Nothobranchius furzeri: one gene and its partner. Each later gene encodes a partner of the first gene's protein in a complex. Links are inferred from orthologs where the notes say so. Each region holds a gene or a part of one and is shown in the gene's direction. Other genes may lie near its edges.

What was found.
Region 2: the proteins of prkaa1 (region 1) and 5'-AMP-activated protein kinase subunit gamma-1 are in contact, whole or in part, in a crystal structure (PDB 6C9H), measured with the Homo sapiens proteins. The link is inferred for Nothobranchius furzeri from reciprocal best matches to the Homo sapiens genes PRKAA1 and PRKAG1. Residues at the interface, in NP_006242.5 of Homo sapiens: Ser295, Ser296, Thr297, Met298, Ile299, Asp301, Glu302, Lys305, Arg342, Glu347, Ala348, Phe351, Tyr352, Leu353, Arg369, His371, Pro372, Glu373, Pro376, Phe377, Asn449, Val451, Thr452, Thr536, Pro537, Arg538, Gly540, Ser541, His542, Thr543; in NP_002724.1 of Homo sapiens: His36, Asp40, Leu41, Ile42, Pro43, Thr44, Ser45, Val50, Leu64, Val65, Gly68, Val69, Arg70, Trp75, Ser77, Lys78, Lys79, Gln80, Phe82, Pro158, Glu159, Ser160, Gly161, Asn162, Lys170, Arg171, Lys174, Phe175, Leu178, Phe179.

What each region holds. Positions count from the first base shown.
Region 1 is NC_091746.1:66,863,069-66,866,896, reverse strand, and holds the end of prkaa1 (5'-AMP-activated protein kinase catalytic subunit alpha-1), read left to right. Parts: intron 1-1,009; coding exon 1,010-1,287; 3' UTR 1,288-3,655; downstream 3,656-3,828. UniProt on the Homo sapiens protein: Catalytic subunit of AMP-activated protein kinase (AMPK), an energy sensor protein kinase that plays a key role in regulating cellular energy metabolism.
Region 2 is NC_091743.1:48,658,961-48,661,503, forward strand, and holds part of 5'-AMP-activated protein kinase subunit gamma-1, read left to right. Parts: coding exon 1-48; intron 49-143; coding exon 144-202; intron 203-315; coding exon 316-361; intron 362-1,277; coding exon 1,278-1,332; intron 1,333-1,672; coding exon 1,673-1,799; intron 1,800-1,892; coding exon 1,893-2,058; intron 2,059-2,165; coding exon 2,166-2,203; intron 2,204-2,543. UniProt on the Homo sapiens protein: AMP/ATP-binding subunit of AMP-activated protein kinase (AMPK), an energy sensor protein kinase that plays a key role in regulating cellular energy metabolism.

The sequences.
Region 1 (3,828 bases):
CAGTGAAAATAGTTAAGATAGCTGAATTTGAAACCATAGAGTACATTTATTTAAAAGCTAGTAACTAATTAGAACTAAATAACCTTTTGTTGTGTTGAGCTTTAACACAGAGATGCTTTTCTTCACTCATTAACCCACCAAGACCCGGTGTCCTTTAGAGAGGGACTGCTGTCCAGACATATGACTCCTACATGCACTAGGCTGCTGCAGATTATAAATATTATTCATTTAGCTGGGGGGGGGGGGGTTAAAAGTGTGTAATCCCAATGTGAAAATGTTTTATTTCAAACAGGAACGTCACATTTTTTGGGAGGTATTTTCTTCATTTCCTCATTTTTGTTTTAGACATTTGCAAGAAAAGTGTGAAAAATCAGAAAGTGAAAAAACGTTAACTGTGATTGTTAAATATTTGACTTGTGCAAGAAAAAAAGGCAAAAATGTCTGACTCGTGTATTTACAAGAAGAAACCCAACTTCTAAGTATAAAGCTCTGGAGGGGAATCAAAATGTTTTTATTACAAAACTTTTGTTTTTTTAATTGTCAGATTTTTTTTTTAGGAATTCCCCAACAAACAAACAACAAGCTGTCTAACGCTGACGCTGAAGCGTGGCTCCCTGCGTGTCCGCAGTGCTGATCTGTAGTTTGGAGCCTTGCTAAAGATTTCATAAATGATTGACGTGCAGCTCAAGGCTTTGGAAGTCTGTGCTGTTTGAACGGACCTGAAAGGGAAATGTTCGGAGTGTTTTATGTGGGACAGGCGTGCTGTATAAAGGTTGTTGAGGTAAAACTAGACTTACGTCATCAAAGTCAAACACGACTTGTTAGATTTATGTTTTCACTCGAGACAGTGAGCAAGAAAGGGTTCACTAAATTGGCCTTTGGGAAGTTTGATGTGTTTTCTGTACACACAGCTTTTACCATGCGGGCTTTCAAATGTTACCTTTGTTTGGTCTCGATTGAGCTGTTTTTGGATACATTAAAAAAAAAAAAGTTTTTCTTTTTTATTTAGATGAAATGGTGGAGACAAAGTCTGGAACTGCTACCCCGCTCCGCTCTGGCTCTGTGAGCAACTACCGCACCACCACTAAGAACGATGTCGATGGGGCGGACGTTTCAGCCACGTCTAGCACTGTGCAGCCCACCAAGACCGCCGAAGGGTCCTTAGGGTCATCCTCGACCTCGTCCATCGACTCGACGGGGGGAGGGGAGAACACCCCTCGACCAGGAAGCCACACCATCGAGTTCTTTGAAATGTGCGCGAATCTTATTAAACTACTTGCACGATAGCTTGCAAAAACAATCATCGCTAGCCTTTTCTTCTCTGAGTGTCTTTATAGCAATAAGCATGGAACAGATTCATGGCTTACTTCATCCCAACTGAGGATGAGGTGATTGTTCCGTGGCGCTCATGCAGGTTGGTGTTCTCTGTGCAGAGGGGAAACATACAGAGCTGACTGGGTCTCTAGGAGTTGTTGAGATTACGCTACCCAGCTAGCTAGAGCAGGAAACAACATTTCGGGGAGGGGGAGGTCTTTAAATTTCTCAATCTGTTTAAAAGCAGATATCAACATCCCAACTTACAAATTACGCAGAAGTGATTACACTGAACGTTCTGTGCTGTAGCCTGCAAGGCCTGCTTTTCAGTACAGAGAACAAGATCACTTTTTTTATTTTTTACCTGCTGCGGGGAGGGGGCGGAGCCACAGTTTGAGGATTGAGTGATGTTCATAGGATGCAGGAAGCACTTTTGCACAAGTTTCTGTAATTTTCTGCTGCTTTGTTATTTTTTATTACCTTTTTTCCTCAGTAGGGATCAGAGAAGCGGTGCCGACGTCCCAGAGCGCCGCAGCGTTTCATTCCCATCACATCACATTAGTGCAGTGGCCTCTGTGGTTCTGGTACGTGTCAGGGACTTAAGAATGCTCCATGTTGGGTTTTATTTTGTTAAATGTCAAAGACTAAATGTTCATGGTTCTGTCCTCGTTGTGACCGATTGTCCAGCTCCGACTTATATTTTTTTTTATAAATAAATACCTGAAAATATTTATCAATGCATTAAGTGGATGGAGTTTTGGTTCCAATGACTTGTTTTTTCTTTCATTACGCTCTAATGCTGGATGTTTAAATATATACTCATTTTTAGCTGTTTTTAATTCAGTGTCACACCTTTGTTTCCCTCAATCACAATTATTCAGATACTTGATTGTCTTTCTAGAGAACTAGTCTGCTTTTTAGAAGGTGTTTTGCAACGACGGTCAACGTCTAGAAATATATCATTATCAGTTTATTACAGTGACAAGTTGATTATGATTTTTTTCTTTTCTTTTGGATTATGGAGTATGATTACTGGATGGGATGTCTTTTGCTTACATTCATTTGATGAAATGCCAATCAGTCACGTGTGTTCAGGCCTCTGTGCTCAATTTTAAACGAGCAGCAATTAAATGCAGTGCGTCAACGGCGTCCGTCAACATCATTTATGTTTCGCTCACACATTCCTTTAAAGGTTGCACATCGTTTGTTTAAACCTGAACCAGATCATTGCTGGTACTGTAAATGGTGAGAAAGATGAAGAATAAAAGCGAGCTAGTAAACGTGTGGCACAGAACAAAATAAGTAAAAGAATTTGCAAGGTAAGAGTCTTGGATATGTATGATCTTGTTCCATTTCCTGTCTAGTCTTAAAGGTTTTCACTGGTGTCCATTTGGCTGCCTTATTATTCGTACTGTTTATCAGTTTTTATGTCAGGTTTGAGCCCTTTGCTGGCCTGAATTATTGGTAACCTCTGCAATTTTAAAGGTTGAAGTTCATATTTTATATTTTCAGCCTCAGCTCACCAAGTTAAGTCCGATATTCTAGAGATGTTTTGGATTTTACTGCATAATCTACACATGGGATCATGTTGCCAAAATAGCTGTAATTCATCTCTGCCTGTAAAGATGATGGTTGGAATTTAAGAAAAACTGAAGTAGATGTAAAATTGATTTCTAATTTTGTAAATTAAAGTAACTTATTTTTTTGGAGAAGTTCTCATTTCTACCAAAAAAAATTCCTAAAAGTTAGATATTTGTTTAAAACTTGTCAGCGTTTGGATTTTTCCAGTTTCGGCTCTACAGATCTTTGAAATCCAGGATGAATGTATCTACACATTTTTAGATATTTAATGATTCTCCTTCAAAAATTGCTAAGAGTGACGATAATTGTGATCATATTTTCTTGTACTGTATGGCAGGTATGGCAAAAATGTTTAGTTTGTCTTTATCTCAGTTTTAAGCCAGAGTTAATAAAAAAAGAATCCATTTGAAGACGAAAACTTTATGGTCTTGCAGACGCGTTGTAAAATTTTAACACTCACGTTAGTTTTAGAGGGCAGTTGCAAGCATTGACCAAAACTTGCCATGCCTTATATGATGGGTTTTGTTGAAAACAGGTGAATGTGTGCAAAAAATACAAATTTTTGCCAGCTTTTAGAAAATGAAGTGTCCTAAAAGGCTGTTCGGTTCAGTGTCTGATAGAACAGCTTCATATAGTTTTAAAAAAGCTCTATTTTTGTTTGGAGTGAGAATGGACCCTATCGGATTGATCAGTGTAAATCTGAATGAAAGTGTTGAATCATTTGTATACGCAACTGCCTAATAAATGCTAATAAATTGCACACTGCTGTCTTTGAATCTTTTTCATGATTACATTTTGATTTATTAGTAATGCAAAATTGTATTAGTGTTATTTTTGAGCAGAATAACACTTGAAAGTCAGTGTAAAAAGTAGTTTTATTACATTTGCACATTTTCATACTAGTTTTTTTACATACATTTTTATAGGATCTTT
Region 2 (2,543 bases), on another chromosome or scaffold:
GGGTAAGAGCAGCGCCCCTGTGGGACAGTAACAAGCAGTGCTTTGTTGGTGAGAGCTTGTGTCGTTTCACTGACTTTCTGCATAAATAAAAAGAACATCAGAGATGTCCGTTTTCTTTATTTGCTTCTGTTTCATCTCTTCAGGTATGCTAACCATCACAGACTTCATTAACATTCTTCATCGCTACTACAAGTCTCCTTTGGTAAGATGTTGTGTGCTTTTTAATTGTGCTCATAAATTTCAGGGATTGTTTGTTACATATAAGACTTTGTCAACAAATGATATTATTTATTTTCTCTTATTGTGATGCTTTAGGTTCAGATATATGAGTTGGAAGAACACAAAATTGAAACATGGAGAGGTGAGAATGTCTACAGAACACTAGGGTTGCAACGATTACCTGGTTTGTTTATTATTAACCACGGTGTGAAACACGGCAGTTAATCCAGACTTGCGGTACAATTACATTAGTAATCGGTATAAAGGGTGTACGGGGGCGGTCTCTGCACTGGACTTCCGTTTAACTTGGATATAACCTGTTTTTTTATTGTGATCCAAGCTGTGCTCATCAGGTATTTTAACAAGCTGCTCCTAAAGGTGGCTGTCACTCACATTCCCTGTGAACTGTCAGGATATCTGAGCTCCAGCTCTAATGGAGAGAAAATCCTGGAGCTCTGCTCTGCCCCATCTCAGCTGGTTCTGTGTACAAAAGTGAAACATATCGCTTGTGTTTACTTTCTTTTTTAATATAGGATCCTGCCGGAGCTAAGCAGTGACTCTCCACGTGATCATGATACCTTCCTCTGTTGCGCCAAGGCGTAATAAGCACTCATAAGTCAGGTGTTGCTGTAATAATCCTACCAAGCATGGTGGCACAAATGCTGCAAAATTCCTGCAGTGCCATGCCTTAAAAGGATATTCAGGGTTATTCATAACAACAAATGCACTAGTAGGAATTTAACATCTCCTTTCGTGTATCAATCAATTTGTGTTTCTATAAATATTTTCTAGAGTTTGAAACCCTAAGTGTGTGTGTGTGTGTGTGTGTGTGTGTGTGTGTGTGTGTGTGTGTGTGTGTGTGTGTGTGTGTGTGTGATAAGCTAATACAGATGGGAAATCAATTCCCATAAATAACCTTGGTGAAACCGTGATTATGTCTCCGACTATAATCATATCACCAGAACGTTTAATCATTGCAGCCCTACTGAACACACACGTCTGAAGATTTGATATGATATTCATTGTGGTGAGCTATCTTTTCTTCTTGGTTATGTTAGAACTGTACCTGCAGGATTCATTCAAGCCTCTAGTCAGCATATCTCCCAATGCAAGGTAAGTGGCAGTACTACTGAAGTGGATCAGCAGTTTATTTATTTATTAAGATTTTATGGCCAAATTAAAAATGTGAACATATACGGGTTTAAAAACAGTATGATGAATAATAGCTGAACTTTCATCTTCTACATTTAGCGATATTGGCATAACTACTATAGACTTTGTATTATTTCATGCTTTTTAATTTCTGTATTAATTCTACTTTATAAAACTGGTCTACGTTTGTACTTGAGCTTCTCTTTGAGACACCTCTGATAAACGAGCATAAGCATCTTGTGAAGCCATTTTCTGGCAATAAGCTGAGCACCATCAACTTTCTCCCCTTTTTGTGTCGCAGTTTGTATGATGCCGTTTCATCTCTGCTGAAGAACAAGATCCACAGACTGCCTGTAGTTGACCCTCTGACGGGGAACACCCTGTACATCCTCACCCACAAGAGGATTCTTAAGTTCCTGAAGCTTTTTGTAGGTTCTTGATCGCTAGTTTGTCACACTGTACAATATGAAATAATGATTATATGTAAAAACACAATAAAGCGTTTACTCTCTTGTATTCAGATATCAGAGATGCCGAAACCTTCGTTTTTAAGCCAGACTTTAGAGGAGCTGAATATTGGGACGTTTCGAAGCATAGCAGTGGTTCATGCAGACACACCGTTGTACACGGCGCTGGGTATTTTTGTGGAGCAGCGAGTGTCGGCGCTCCCTGTTGTGGATGACAAAGGTATGTGAGCTGGCTGAAATCTTTATCTCTGTTATTTAGGTTTTTCTAGCAATCCGAGATCTCAAGTTTTTTTTTTTTTTTTTTTGTCTTCTGTCGATGTCTTCCAGGTCGAGTAGTGGACATTTACTCGAAATTTGATGTTATAGTAAGTAAAATTCACTCACTGAATAAATGAAGGAATTGTTTGCTGTAAAGACAGACAGAACATGAATTAGAGCCCCTGTCCAGGTATAAACAGGCTTCATTAAGCTGCTTTAAGGTATTCTCTGTTCACAAGTTTTATCTCTTCAGCTCTTTGATCTGATACAAGCAGACCCACGAGCTCCAAAAAATCTTCAAAAGTCAATTTTCTTAGAAGTGTGTGAGCAATGTTTACTTTCCTCACTCCGTCCTGCTTCCTGGGTGCTGATGGTGCTTTGAAAAGGCTTCGGTATGTGTTCAAGAGAGCCTTGCAGGTCACAGGGTGAAATGTTGGCGAGTGAGTG